3 linked regions of the Arabidopsis thaliana genome follow. The protein of the gene in region 3 binds, or shares a complex with, the protein of the main gene of each other region. Each region holds a gene or a part of one and is shown on either strand. Other genes may lie near its edges.

The links.
Region 1: AT1G31500 (region 3) and AT5G11350 share a complex: the UniProt entries of both Arabidopsis thaliana proteins name them as parts of the CCR4-NOT complex.
Region 2: AT1G31500 (region 3) and AT3G58580 share a complex: the UniProt entries of both Arabidopsis thaliana proteins name them as parts of the CCR4-NOT complex.

What each region holds. Positions count from the first base shown.
Region 1 is NC_003076.8:3,619,105-3,624,175, forward strand, and holds the start of AT5G11350 (DNAse I-like superfamily protein), read left to right. Parts: upstream 1-2,414; 5' UTR 2,415-2,478; coding exon 2,479-2,580; intron 2,581-2,663; coding exon 2,664-3,105; exon of another isoform or gene 3,106-3,112; coding exon of another isoform or gene 3,113-3,173; coding exon 3,174-3,340; intron 3,341-3,488; coding exon 3,489-3,554; intron 3,555-3,688; coding exon 3,689-3,741; intron 3,742-3,814; coding exon 3,815-3,896; intron 3,897-3,973; coding exon 3,974-4,023; intron 4,024-4,177; coding exon 4,178-4,259; intron 4,260-4,472; coding exon 4,473-4,565; intron 4,566-4,651; coding exon 4,652-4,684; intron 4,685-4,770; coding exon 4,771-4,859; intron 4,860-5,001; coding exon 5,002-5,071. Other genes in the region: AT5G11340 (Acyl-CoA N-acyltransferases (NAT) superfamily protein), read left to right, coding at 122-275, 1,286-1,408, 1,747-1,964. UniProt on the Arabidopsis thaliana protein: Acts as a catalytic component of the CCR4-NOT core complex, which in the nucleus seems to be a general transcription factor, and in the cytoplasm the major mRNA deadenylase involved in mRNA turnover.
Region 2 is NC_003074.8:21,661,536-21,666,606, forward strand, and holds the start of AT3G58580 (DNAse I-like superfamily protein), read right to left. Parts: upstream 2,561-5,071; 5' UTR 2,163-2,560; coding exon 2,005-2,162; intron 1,811-2,004; coding exon 1,063-1,810; intron 971-1,062; coding exon 884-970; intron 803-883; coding exon 719-802; intron 643-718; coding exon 556-642; intron 459-555; coding exon 372-458; intron 263-371; coding exon 209-262; intron 114-208; coding exon 22-113; intron 1-21. Other genes in the region: AT3G58590 (Pentatricopeptide repeat (PPR) superfamily protein), read left to right, coding at 4,727-5,071. UniProt on the Arabidopsis thaliana protein: Acts as a catalytic component of the CCR4-NOT core complex, which in the nucleus seems to be a general transcription factor, and in the cytoplasm the major mRNA deadenylase involved in mRNA turnover.
Region 3 is NC_003070.9:11,274,174-11,279,244, forward strand, and holds the start of AT1G31500 (DNAse I-like superfamily protein), read right to left. Parts: upstream 2,456-5,071; 5' UTR 2,362-2,455; coding exon 2,306-2,361; exon of another isoform or gene 2,302-2,305; intron 2,009-2,301; coding exon 1,744-2,008; intron 1,557-1,743; coding exon 1,507-1,556; intron 1,179-1,506; coding exon 1,109-1,178; intron 893-1,108; coding exon 768-892; intron 681-767; coding exon 568-680; intron 424-567; coding exon 288-423; intron 211-287; coding exon 63-210; coding exon of another isoform or gene 57-62; exon of another isoform or gene 1-56. Other genes in the region: AT1G31510 (F-box associated ubiquitination effector family protein), read left to right, coding at 3,244-3,931, 3,976-4,035, 4,108-4,289; AT1G31520 (uncharacterized protein), read right to left, coding at 4,810-5,056. UniProt on the Arabidopsis thaliana protein: Acts as a catalytic component of the CCR4-NOT core complex, which in the nucleus seems to be a general transcription factor, and in the cytoplasm the major mRNA deadenylase involved in mRNA turnover.

The sequences.
Region 1 (5,071 bases), on a different chromosome or scaffold from region 3:
CTCTCTCCCACGAACATTATTTATAGATTTTTGGGTTTCCCCTAAATCTCGAGCTTTTTCTTCCCTTGATTTCTTTGGTCTCTGTCCGTACGACGTCGAATATCTAGATTGTTCGACGGCGATGGGAGCTGGGAGAGAAGTCAGCGTATCGCTAGATGGAGTCAGAGACAAAAACTTGATGCAGCTTAAGATACTCAACACGGTTTTGTTCCCGGTTCGTTACAACGACAAGTACTACGCCGATGCAATCGCTGCCGGCGAATTCACCAAGCTTGGTTCGTCTTCTTCTTACTTGATTTTTCTTAATTTCTGTCTCTCTTTGCTTTCCCCAGTAATTCCTGCTTAAATTTCTTAATGGGCATGTGCTATTACGATTTCACGGGAATGTGCCTCTGAATCAGAACTAAAATTCATCGAATTTTGGTATTTTTGCTCTCAGATTTCTGTCTTTTTACCTGAGCGAGCATTAGTAGTCGAGTTTGTTCCTTTAATAGGAAAAGTTTGCTTTGGGGGGTTTATGATGAACTGTTCTGTGATTAGGCTTGGTATACTCTACAAAGAAAGTACCTTTTGCAATCCTGCTTTCCTTTGGTTGTTTGTTTAGTTGGTTCACTGGTCATTGTAATAGGTGTGATTATCTGTGTCTTCTCTTTTGTTCGGTTCCGTGAATTTATTTGACTGAGCCATGTTTTATTTAGGTTCAGTACTAGTGTCTGATACTAGGAAGAAGATGATTTTATCGGTAATATTGGTAGAAGCCTTCTTTCTAAGCCTTGAATGGATCGATTTTGTTTGCTTTCTATTGTCTGTTGTTTCGTAATTACCGATTCATGTTTGAACTTTGTGGTTGATGACATTGATGTTGACAAAGTATCATCTTGATCGTTGTTTTAAGTTGTTTGACTATATGAATACTGCATTCTTTTGTTCAACCAAGCAAAATTTTTTGTATGTTAAGCATGTGTACCTTGTAATCTATCGCTGATTGACTTATATTATCTTTCGAGAACATGGTCCAAGACTAATTTTCGTATTCACAGAATTTTTTCAAGCTCACTTTTGTGAAACCCTTGGTTGGAACATCTTTTGCGTCAACTAGTTCTTTAAATGTACAATAAGATGTGATTATGAAAGTCTAAAGACTGTTAACAACGTCTTAAATTTGGTACTAACTATTTCATTGCAGTTGCTTGGGTAGTTATGTTCTTGGTGTTACATATATTTTCTCTAATTTGTGATCAAGGAAAATTCTTCATGTTCTAATAATGGATTGACTTCCTCTCAGCATATTACAATGACATATGTGTTGGAGCTATCGCCTGTCGGCTGGAGAAGAAAGAAAGTGGGGCCATGCGAGTTTATATAATGACGCTTGGTGTTCTTGCACCCTACCGTGGGATTGGCATTGGTAAGTCATAAATCTGCTGTGCAAAACTTGAATACCGACAAAACATGAATAATGAAGAAAACTGTTAGCATGTTGTGTAATTCTGTTGTTTTCCTTACGTTTTAACACATGAGGCCAGCTGTAGTATGTTTATTCTGTAGTTCTCTATTTGAAGTGTCTCCATTTAGAGATTCAAACCACCAAGAAATAGTCCTTAGGGTTTTATGCATATCGTTGTTTTACCGAGAAACTGGAATTATGATTCCTCCTATATCAAGATTTAAGATCGAATTCCCTGCTTTAGAAAGAAAAACTCGATGTCTATAATTTGTGTATCTTGTTTTTTTCGTCTTTTGCAGGCTCAAATCTATTGAATCATGTTCTTGACATGTGCTCCAAGCAAAACATGTGTGAGATATACTTGCATGTGCAGACAAACAACGAAGACGCAATCAAGTTCTACAAGAAGTTCGGCTTTGAGATCACAGATACCATACAAAACTATTACATCAACATTGAGCCAAGAGATTGCTACGTTGTCAGCAAGTCCTTTGCTCAATCTGAAGCCAACAAATGATGAAAAATACCAAACTTGGGGAAGCCATTCCTCCCCAGTTTCTTTGTTGCATTCAGTTCAAGATCTATTAATGTTATGATGATCCTTCGGTTTCCGAGTTTTGCTTGTTTTGTTGACCTTAATTTTTCTTACTGATTCTAAATTTATAAATTCCTGGTTATATACTTGCATGATTTCTCTAATGTCCTCTTGGCTTTGGACATTTTCGTTTGGAAAAGTTTTTAACTTTGCAACTCAAAGCTTTACTACCAAGTATCATCGTGTTTGTAAATGTTGGTCTATGAATTTGAGTAAAGAGAGACAATGATTCTTGTTATGAGCTGTAGAATAAAGTAAAGAAAAAAATGAAGAATTTATGACTTGCGTTTTGGCTTGCGTGCCATTTATTCACAGTGAAGACTGGAAGATGTGTTCTTCTTGAATCAAAAAACGGCACGTCTTATGAGTCTCCGTTCATCGGTGTCTGCAATTAAGCACCGGTTCCTCGAGCTTCCTCACTCAATTCGATTGACCAATGCGGCGTTCTCGTTTTGTTGCTCAAGTTTTCTCCGACGTTACCTTCGCTGACGCCTCCACTATCTCTGCTCCAATCTTCACCATGTCTACTCGTGCTCCGGTAAATTTTCTCAGCTATTCTCTTGTTCTATCACTCCCGCTGCGTTGCTTCGGTTACTGGAATATAATTTGTTTCTTACGAAGCAGTACAGAGGTGCCCGAGGACGAGGACGAGGCCGAGGTGGGAGAAGTTTCTCCGATCGTCCGTACAATGATGACGCGGGAAGAGATCAGTTCGTTACTGGAGATTCTCATTTTCAATCAGTTCATGACGCCAATTTCCGATTCCGGCATGGTGAACCTTATCGACAACATCAGCCTCCGCTTGATCAGCGGCAGCAACCACCGTTCAATCAGAATTACGAATTTCGACCTCCGCCGCCGTCACGAGGTCAGTGGCAACAATTCCGTCAACCTAATCAGTTTCCGTCTAATCAAAACTACGCGGCTTGCCCTCCCCCTCCGTTCTATCAAAACCAGATGTCCCGGCCGCCTCCACAGCAGAGCTTTCGTCAACGGCCACGGTCAAAACCTTCAGATTACCGTGAATGGGAATATGCCAAAACGCCACCGTCTCCTGGCTCCGGTAATTTATGCGTGACCATCTCATTTGCTCCGGTATACAATTTTTGATTTGCTTTCTCTTGTCTACAGAAAAGTTTGTTGTTTTATCGTATAATATATTGGCGGATTACCTTGCAAATGATCACTGGAGAAGTCTTTACTTTCACATACCGAGGAATATGTTGAGTTGGGGATGGAGAAAGAGCAAATTAGTGTTCGAGCTTAGCCTATGGTCTGCAGATATAATGTGCCTTCAGGTTATAGTTTCTGCTATATCTTCTTGGTAATTGCTTGTATGAGGGACTAAGGAGACAAAACTTTCTTGCTTTACTATTTTTTTATCATATGTATACAGAATGTATCTTCCATATGTATAGTAATCTAAAATTATTTTGTATATGTCAGGAAGTTGATAAATTTCAGGACTTAGAGGAGGAGATGAAGCACCGGGGATATAGTGCTATTTGGAAGGTAGGTTTGTTGAAAACTTTTAGTTGTCTTGAGTTTGTATTCTCTACGGACTCTCTTGGAGTAAAGATTAAATGGTATGCATCATAAGAACTAGGCTTCAAATGTGGGGTTAACTCTATTTTATAAAACTGTAGATGCGGACTGGTAATGCTGTTGACGGATGTGCAATATTTTGGCGATCCAATAGGTTTGATTCCCTTGCTCTTCCTTGTGTGGATCAGTCTGGAATCTTGTTTAGGATTTCATTGTTATCATATTAGATTCAAGTTGGTTCACGAGGAAAGCATCCAGTTCAATCAACTTGGTCTCCGAGATAACGTTGCTCAAATATGTGTGCTTGAGGTAATATGGATACCTTATGTTGATAGTGACTTATATACATTTGCCTCTTTGCCCTAAATTAAATTTGCTCTGTGTAGACATTGTTGACTTCACATACAAAAGAAAATGAGACCCCTCCACCTGAAAGGTAACTTAAAAGTATCTGTAAATGTTACTATCATATCATTTTATGGGTGGATAATTTCACTAGGAAGTGGCCGATTTTCTTCAGATTTCAGTGGTTTTCTGTATGGACTATACTTTGTGGGTGGGTTGAAGTGAATTACCAATTTCTTTTACAGCTCTGCTGGTTCCCATCGAGTTGTCATTTGTAACATTCACGTGCTTTTTAATCCTAAAAGAGGAGACTTTAAACTTGGTCAGGTACTTTCCTTTAATGCCATATTCTAGTTTGTAGAAATCTTTTGCCAAACGACAGTTTTACTCTCTGGTTTAACTCTGTCTATACGCTATGAACATGTATAAGTGTTAGGTGTTTGAGATAAAACTTTTGAAACCAAACGCTTCGCCCCTTGCTTAACTTGGTTTCTTTAACTGTTTCCATTTATCATCTATGTATTTATCTCTGTTACGTAGGTCAGAACACTCTTAGATAAAGCTCATGCTGTTTCAAAACTCTGGGATGATGCGCCTATTGTTCTTTGTGGGGATTTCAATTGTACACCAAAGGTAGGACAATCTTACCTTAACCAGTTTGTATACCCCAAAAAACTTGTTTTGTGACATGGTCATAACATTCTTCCACCTGGTTGCAGAGTCCTTTGTACAACTTTATTTCAGACCGGAAGGTAAAGCTTCATTGTTAGGAAAGTCCTTCACCTATTCGCAACATTATATATATGGTTCACATTGTGTCTTGTGCTGCTCTCTGCAGTTGGATTTGTCTGGTTTGGCCAGAGACAAAGTTTCGGGGCAAGTTTCTGCTGAGTTTCGTCCACCAAGGCCAGAAAATTATACAACGAGGTAGAGCAAACTCACCAAGTTCTTCGACATCATTAAGTATATGGTTATGCAACTTAACACCTCCATGTCTACCCTAGAATATCGGGTTCTACTCTGCTTTTGCAATTGTCAGCATGGTTGATAGGCCTCCTCAATTTTCCAGGTATCAGTCCGCCAACAAATCTCCACAAGGTCAAGTTCAACCACCAAATTTGATCACAAATGCTCATATG
Region 2 (5,071 bases), on a different chromosome or scaffold from region 3:
AGAATTTATGAATCAACAAACCTCCCAGGAAGCGTATTGAAGTCTCCACACACAAGCATAGGAATATCGGCACTAGCTGCTATTTTCTCTAGTCCCTTTAATAAGGTATGAACCTAAACGCAAAAGAATAAAAGAAAACATGAGGTGAATACTAATTCTTTCGAGTTCAATGAAATTTGATTTATTTCGGATATAGAGATACACCAACCTGCCAGAGCTTCACATCCTTCAGATCTTGTTGAACATTTACATGTGTGTTTGCCTAAACAAGTTGCCACAACAAAATAAGAAAATTCATTGGCTTTCACTAAAAGAGCATATACAGAAACTAACAGTTCTCATGAGAATGGAAAAAAAAAAAGAACCAGTACCACACAAATAAGCTGGCGCTTCCCAGAAGGATCAGTAGGTTGATTACCAAATTTGGCTTCAAGAACAACTATCAACGCAATGTTATCCTACAACATAAGAATCATTGGTTTCAGTTTTGTAAACAATAACTCTCTGATAATCAGCTGTGGCCCAGAAAAATATTGTATACCATGTCAAAAATACCTTAACCAGTCGGTTTAAAGCAGTTCTCTTCTGAGCCTGAGGGATTAGAGCGTCAGTCAAAGACTGAGCAGCCTTGTTGAATTCAACCTGGATTTACAGTCCATGAATTAGTATAGAGATCTTACTGGATCTAGCAAGTAAACATATAGAACTGAATACAAACATCATATTTCTTGACATGCGAAAACCTATCCCGCCGGAAAAATGTTGCACAGCCGTCAATGGCACTTGTACTTCCGCTGAGAACCTAGCAACAAGAAATTTGTGGTTAATAGATTTTAAAACATAAATCACTGAAGGAAGGAGTGTGTGGAATCATTGACCAAACCTCATTAGTCTTCCTCTTGTAAAGAGCTTGATACCCATGCTTATCCAACTCAGGAGCAAAAATTTCATGGAAATGATCACTTTGTACCTGCCAGATAACAAAAAAAAGAACACATTAGAAGTAGATTTTTCAGAATTAAAATGCTTTAAATCATTACCAAGTCCATACGAATAACATACTTCTTGCAGGCAAACTACATCGGCTCTATATCCAACAATCTCCCTTAACAAATTCTGTCTTCGGTATGGCCATGAAAGAGCCCAAGGAGGACAGTAACTGTAGAGGTCGCTACTTGCAGAAGTATCAGACAAAATGTTATATGAAAGAACAGTGAATGATCCTGCAGACTGAATCCGAGCATCTTGATCTAAGTGACCCATCCCATCAGCTCCGTTAACAGGGATTAGCTTACGGGGGCTTGGAGAAGGAGCAGGAATAACCCGTGAAGTCAAAATGGTACTAGGATGTCCGACAATCTGTTTAGTCTCAGCATTAGCCACAACACACTCGAACTTCAAAACGTGGCTAATATCATCAGCTGTTGGAGTGTACGTTTTGCAACCCCCAACCTCAACTAAAGTCTCTCCTCCATTTTTCTGAGTAATATTAGAAGGATAAAACGGAGCTGGACCATTGTTGGCAATACTAAGATTTGACATAGACCCAGATAAGGAACCAGCGAGAGACCCAGAACCCGCACTGTTATTCCTGTTCAAGTCATCATCCTCGTTTGCGTTGTTTTCCGCAGCTGCTCGCTCGTGCAAAGTCCTGTGATGCTGCCACGCATCCGTGAAGCATTTTGGCGAACAGTGATAGCTTTTTGGAACAAGGGATCTACGCTTAGAACAGAAAACACACTGTAAAGTAGCTTGTTCCGTTGGATGCACACTGCAAATCGTTACTTTCTTATCACTCTGTACACGATACCTACAACAAATAAATCCAAAAAATGAATCTACAACAAGATCAGAACTTTACACACAAAAACCATTTGACGACCTAAATCAGAACATCTACATGAGAAATCTCTGAATTCAGATCAAAATTCAATCTTTGATAAACCCCAATTCGCCAAATGATCCAAGAAAGCAATTAGACAAAGAGCCAATCAGAAATCTAACCATCTGTATCTCAAGAAGTAGCCTTCAAGAGGAGCAGATTCAGGGACGTCATCAGTGGTGGAGTTCTTATCGGGACGACGAACAAGGACGTAAGGAGTCAATTCACAGCCCACAATGGGAATTTCAGAAGGAAGATGCACTCGGATCACGCTCAGCATTGCTTTTCAATAACACCTGGTGATTGTCGAAGAACACTATCGAAGCAGCAGCAGCAGAGATTCAGAATCGAAGCAAGACCTTGATGATGATTATTAGATGATGAATATTGTCGTTGATAACCTAATGAAGTGGAGCGTACGATAGGCTGATCCACCATTTACTTGAACCGAAAACCCGACCAATCTCTAGAAACCCTAGAAAATGTCTTCTTCAGACAAGGTTGAAGATCCGGCAGAACCAAATTAGAATCGAAGAAAAGAAAAAAAGAAAGGAAAATGATGGTATCGAGAAAGCTTATAAGAGATGTGAGATCTTGAAGGAATTTTGTATTAAGGATCGATTCTTTCGCTGTGAATATGGAAAAAATCAATGAAATCGATTTTGGTTTTTTTATGTGTTTTTTTTCCCCGAGTGGGTTTAATACTAAAACTATTATTTTGTGCTTTGAAGACATTATTATGAAATTTTATAATATTTTAATTGATCTTCCTTTTCGATGAAAATTTTGGTTTTGGCGCTCAAAGATTGAAAGTTTTTCGTTTTATTTTTGTTTATATAAAGATAAAATTTTAAAATCTAGAAAATGCGTAAAAACAAATAATCCACAACTAAACATGACTTACCAAAGACAAATCAAGATTTATGACTCGTACCATTACGAAAACAAGATTGGTGACTTAAAAGAAGTGTATTTATATCTATGATAGATTGAAGAAAGAAGGAATGGTGAAGATGAGTCAATAGGTGAGTGTTCAACGCACATTCAGTAGGAGCCAGGAGGTGTAGTTTCTTCGTTAAGATTAAGAGACAAGAAATATCAATTCGTGATATAATTATCTTGAAGACGATTTGTTGCAGATTAAGGTAGAATTAACTTCTTCTTCTTTTTTGTTTTTTTTTTAAAATGTGAGAATTACCCAAGAAGAGCAGCATAGTTTATCAATTCAATTGATCTTCTTAAGAATTGTTGAATTTGTCAAATTAATGAAAGAATCACATTTTAACATTGTCAAAATTGTCATGTTCATTTTCGCTTTTGTTTTCGTTTTAGCTAGTTCATTTGGTTTTCATAAATATAAGCGGTTCAAACCTGAAATAATTAAGGTTCGAATTATGAAAATTTTGTTGGTTTTTAATAAATTTAGGTAGACTAAATTTCATTCTTTTCAGGTTTACTCAATTTTAAAGTATAGAAATTTAAGATTTATATCTAACTTTTGTTGTATTTGATATGAAAAGTTATCGGTTTGTATTTTACCGAATTTAGATAACTATTTACAAATTATTATTTTGAACTAATTATAGAAAACAAATACAATGCGTGTCCAGTAAATCAAAGTTGAGAGATTTCTTTCTCGTTTTTAAGCATTCAACACAATTTTTTCTATTTGTTATTTCGGAGGCCTGAGTCCACATTTTATATGAAGCATAACATGGAAAATAATAATAATTATTATTTTTCGAAAGCGATCTTTTCCAAACAAAGAAGCCTCAAACACTATATACGCTACAAAATAACATCTCGACCTTGTAACAAAGAATGCATTAGATATTTTTTTTTTTAATCAAAATTGTTGAGATGAGCAAAAGCACAGAACGTATTCAACTTTTCAAAAGGGTTGTGGCAGCTGAATATTATTTGTTCTATGATGGTAACTAACAATTTGTTTATTTTTTGTTCTTTATAGTGAAATCTTTTGATTTGATTTTTCTTTTTGTTGTTGTTAGTTTTGTTGGAAGCCGTCAAAGACATACAAAAATTGAAAGTTGATCTAACGATAGAAGAGAAGAAATGCTTAGAAATGGTAAATGAGAATCTATTTAACGAGACAGTAAAGATACTAAAACCGCTCGAAGATATGGGTATGAGGTCTGAAGAAACAATCATTATAGATGATAATCAAAAGATGATTAAAGAGTATTTGGAGGACACCTTCATAGTTTGTCATAAAATATGTAAGGAGATTCAAAAGTTGGGTATTTGCCCTTTGTGAGTTAAGTACTCTTATCGTCCTTTTTCTCTAGAGATTTGGAGGGTTTTTCAATATGAATTAGATATGTAAACCAATATTATTCAAACATGAGGTATAATCTAAAAAATGTGAAAGGAAAGATGGAAGGGATGAGGAGAGCAACCTTTTTTATTAATGATAAAATTTCATTGGAAATGATAAACAAATTAAATTATGGAATAAAAATAAAATTATTCAAAAAAAAAAAGTTGAGTTGATTTTGGTTCATTTAGAAAACCATAATATTAATTCGATTTTCTTTTGTTAAATATGGGCCAATTTGAAAGATCTTATTTGTAAAATAATATGGGCCAGATTGGTCAATTGGACAGATAAAACCGTGATACTGTGGTTGAACCAGCCGGTGCGGTCTAGATCAATTATTTAGTTCCCTGGTTCTGAACTTCAAACTTTGTTCTTGATGTTTATAAAAATCCGAACTTTTAAAATTTCAGACCTTTATTAGAACTTTCTTCATGATGCACGAAACTTAGTTCTTAATTATAACTGAGATCGATCTGGGAAGTACTCTGTTTTCAGTATCCTTCTGCATGAGCCTCAGCTGTGGAGATCTCGCCAATCACAACGATCGTGTAGTTAGCTTACTCAATGTCTGCAGAAAAGCTCCTTCCTTTGCAAGGACCAAAGCTCTTCACGCTCTCTCCATCACTTTATGCTCTGTTCTTTTGCAGCCAGTTTATGTCTGCAATAACATTATCAGTCTTTATGAGAAGCTTGGCGAGGTATCACTTGCAGGCAAAGTGTTTGATCAAATGCCTGAGAGAAATAAAGTGTCTTTCAACACGATCATTAAAGGGTACAGCAAATACGGGGATGTTGATAAAGCTTGGGGTGTGTTCTCTGAGATGAGGTATTTTGGATATTTGCCGAACCAG
Region 3 (5,071 bases):
CTTTTGATTTTGCAAATAGATTGAACAATTAGGGAAACTCAATGTAAGAAACTGAATCAAACCATATCCCCAGGAATTGAATTGAAGTCGCCAGCTAGTAGCAATGAAGGTGTGCACTCAAATTCATCTGATATTAGTGTTTTGAACTGAGCTAGTCGTGACAGTAGATACTTGGCTTGAGCAAGCTTGACATCAGCCAATTCAGGGTCCCTAGAGATAAGTAAACATGAGATGAAAGTTTAAAGGGTGGTAAAAGATAATCTTCAATCGGTGACAAGTATTTTTACCAGTAAAGATGTGTGTTTGCCACGATAACGATATGCTGAAACGGCTTGTTGATCCTAAAAGCAGCCATTATTCCAACGCAATCACGTTTTAGTCTCACTAGTGGATCATTAAGGTCACGACTGTCTTTTCGAGAATCTTTTGTTTGGGGCAGATTTGTGGAAACATGTGAAGAGAACATAGATAAAAGTTAGTAATGATGTTGAGATATAAAGAAACAGCACAAAGTATTTGCTTTCTTTTCCTCCAAAAGGACAAATTTATCTTTCGCTTTCTCATCACCTTTTCCTTCGTTGGATGTCTCAATCTTCTGTTCGCTGCAGGAAACACTATCTGCTTTTATTGAGTCCACAAGATCATTATATTCGATCCGTTCCTTTGTGACTAACTCTGCACTAAATCAAAAGAAGAGTGTTGTTTCAATCAGATTGATGTTTTTGCATTAAGTTAACGTCTTGTCAGGCTTAATGTTTTTATCATACCAGCTTGGCTTGTAGAAGATTGCACAACCATCACGCTTCCTCTGGCCGGTTCTCTGAATATAAATCCCAGAATATCCCAGAGAGTCCATGTTATTTCTGTAAAAGCTATCGTACTCATCTACTTCCTGCGAGCATTGCAACTATATAACTAACAAGTGGAGACACCCTTTTGTTAAACACAATTCAAAGGCCCTATGAACAAACAACACTAACATTTTTACAGGCCTGAGCTTGTCTAATGGATTGAACAAAAGAGAAGAATGAATTTTGTGTTTCATACGAAAAGGGTATCTCAATACTACCTAAACACAAAAGAAGAAGTTTTCACAAGAATAAAGTACCTGCAGACAAAAGAAATCAGCCTGGAGATTTTTGAGAACGCTGAGAATTGCATGTGAACGAGCTTTCCATCTGCAACACAAGAAAAGGAAGACCAAGTCACATTTACTACAAAACCATAACCCTTTAAGAAGCACCATTCCCTAATATTTTAACAAAGTTAATATATCGCTAAATCCAAAGTACATATTGGGTAATGGATAATTAACGTGGGTAAGACCAAACACAATATTGCCTGCTTATAGCTAAGTTCCTAAACATTCATAGAATCCATTGTTGTTTTCTGAAGCAAATCTTGACTATACTCCAGGCCATTGATTACACAACTCACAGAAAGAACTCTTGACTAGTATAAGTAAATTTGATCTCGAAACTGAGAAATGTAGAGAAAAATAATTACTTGAGACAGGCAGGTGGAGAGTGTGGGAGAAGTGCACTCTTCACATAAACCTACAAGAAATATAAAGCTCAAATAGATAAGAAACTCAACAAAGGAAAGAGCTAAAAGAACTGTCTGTATCTATAAATCAAGCTCAGAAATTCGTAAGATCGTTTAAAACTACAAAATTCGTCCAAATATTAAGCTACAAAATATCACAAAGCATATGAGAGATTAAAAAGCTTGATTATTTCTTACCTGAGCTAATATGTTATATGAAACAAGACGGAATCTGATACCTGAAAACACAAAATTCTCATTACTAGTACCAATTCTACTTAAACTTATACAGTTATATAAAGCCACAAGCTTTGATAAGTAAAGAGGAATAGCAAAAAAACCATCGGATTTATTTCTTGAACCAATATCAACTCCTTCAACAGATTCAAATTTGCGAACTTTTGGTTCAATTGCAGGATTCGTACTCATTCTTCTCGAAATAACTTTCCTGCAGACACGAGAGCTGTTGAATCAAAGGGTCAGGAAAAAAAACAATCCTTGAACATCAATATTTAGGTCAAAATTAAGAAGCTGATTTAATTCCCCATAAAATTTCAATTACAGCCCAGATAAATTCGAGATTCTAGAGGATTGGTTCCAATATAAAGATGAGAAATTTCTAAACAAATTGTATTCCTCAACGAAATTGCCCAATGACAATGAACAGAGACGATCAATTTAGTTGCATTACTAAATACGAAACTTGAGATTACAGAAAATGAAACTGTATATTGATTGATACAGAAACGAAGAAACCCACCTGGGAAGAAGAAGATTCGGACGAGGAAGATGATGCAGAGTTGTAGAACTAAACATCTATAGTGACAACAATTGACTTAACCCAATTTGGCTTTAGATTGAAGAAACTCTTGTGGGTTTTCAAATAAAATAGTGAAGAATTCGATAATTATCATTTGCTCCCTGTCTTTATATTAAAGTAGTTAGTGAGCCTTCATTTTATTTATTGGAACTTTAGAACCAAAAATAGGTCATTAGTAGGTTCATTTACTTTCCAACAAATAAAAATCCAATCGAAATCAACGTCAAAATCCAAAACCCAAAATTTTCAAAAATTCCCAAAGCACCTATATATATAACTATATAAGTTAGTATGAGTTTCTAAATCATTTACTGTCAGATATTTAGTCTATAAATGGTTGTGTACCAGACTAAAATCTAATTAATCGATATTTAACTAATTCACCATTACGGACCAATATACACTATTGCGAATTAAAAATTTCCATACTAACACTCACTTGAGCATAAAACTTTATAAGATGAGAAATTATAGATATATTTCCCAAAAAGCTTCACACCAATATTAATATAACAAGGGGATTGACGTAAATGACACTAAAAAACTTTATTATTCCAAAAAATGACACCTTTTTTTTGAAATTTCCAAAATAGCATATAAAATTTTTAATCCTCTATAAATTAATTAAATAATAAAGTTTTTTTTATTACTATTTGTATCAATCCCCCAAATAAAAATGAGAGCAAACATTAATCTAATATTAAATTGAATCAAAAAAGTTTTTAATAATAAAAATATATACCCTAAATTGAAAATAACAAACCCAAATATAATACTACAAACTAATTTGGTAAAGGACATACTACAAACTAATTTGGTAGAGGACATGCAAGCAATGGAAAACACTAATCACAGAACCGATATTCGTCAACAAGCACATGTCTCACATGCATGGTCTTGAACCGATATTCACAGTCTTCAATTACGTTCCGGCCACAGTTTCTCCATTGTGCTCAACAATTTCTTGTATCGGTATGGATTTCAACAACAAACCTAGTTTAAATTTTCAGGTTTTTAAACCGCTTTCATCTTCGGATTTATTGGAGCACAACATGTTTCATTGTGATGGTCTATTGCTAATGGTCATGGGAACCAAAATTTTAGTTTCCAATCCGTTGTTGAAAGAAGCAAGATGGATCAAATGTGGCTATAGCTTTGAGTTTGACCATTCCATCGATGCATATGGTCTTGGATACATTAGTAACGAGTCACCAAGTGGTTGTAATGATTACAAAATGGTTAGGTTTCGGTGTCCTAATAATTTAAGTGTTGAAATCTACGATTTCAAATCTGATTGTTGGAAGGTTGTTGTTGTTGATAAAACCTTCCATGGGTTCTTTCGACTACCATTGTCAAGTGTGTGTATAGGAGGAACTCCTTATTGGATAGGTTATAATATCTACGGTACCGTTTCGATACAAAGTTTCGATTTCTCAAAAGAGAGATTTGAGACCTTGTTCGAGTCTCTTCATCACTCATCCATCGGGATCCAGTGGAAAGATTCTCTTTCTTTAGGGATTTTCCGTGGAGATCATCTTTCTTTGTTACGTGAACCGCACTTAGCAGGTAAGATATACTGATGAAGAAGCATTGGAGTAGGTTAATGACAGTTTCTATAGCTCAACTTCCCAAGTTTCCAATATATCCAAGTCACTTCATTGAGAACAATGGTAAGATTCTGCTATATATTCGTCACTTTGTAACTAGGTCAATTAGCATCTACGTTGTGGGAGAGACATAAGAATGCCCGAAAGTTGAATGTTACTCTTCTATGGAGTCTTCAATTGGTGGTCCTGGTTGCTACTATATATGTCCCAAGCTTACTTCCGGTTCCAGGCTTTTCGAGGTAATTAAGAGGAAGAAGAATAAGCGTGCTCCGATCCATTGCTACGAGTTAAATGGTTATCTTCTTTCATGTTTATAATGGTCTTTACTTTCGAACTCTATAAACATAGTGGGATAACTTCATAAGAGTTTGAATCTGGTTCGAAAAAAGTGGGAAACAATATTTATGCATACAAATATGGTTTTTTATTTTGATTATTTCTATGTTCATATTATTGCTTCGGCGGATCTGAACTCAATGCCAATGAGCAAATGATCACTCGCTTTCGGTGTCTCGTAATATAAGATCATGATTTGATATTCGAGGTCTTTATGCATCCGTGGTTCCTTATTCCCCAAGCTTAATCTCTTTATTGCATAAATTGTATACGTTCTCGTCATATATTCTACTTATTTACTTGGTATAGTTATTTCTGGATATGACAAAAAGTAAACTCTACATTAATATTTTGGAGAGATTTTGAATAAGTATGGGAAAATACAAGAGAAGAATCTTTAACAAAAAAAAATACAAGGGAAGGAATGTTGTTTAAAAAGAGTTGTTTCATAGATGAAAAGTGCTTTTCTCTTATCTTAAGAAACCATCTGAATTATAACTTCTACATATATAAACGCCATGTATCACTGCTAGTGAGGTCTCCGGCGTTTACTCGGAGAATGGCGAGGTGAGCGTAAACAATGGGAGGTACCATCCTAAAGGGGTATGCAGCATCTTTGTAGCTATAGATCATGATATTGAACTTTGAGAGAATAGCATCCACACCAGCATCTTCTGGCTTCATGGACGTCTGAAGATAAGGGAACTCGAAGACTTTTCTTGCTCGAATGTTTGATGCAACATGTATACTAGTAAAAATAATA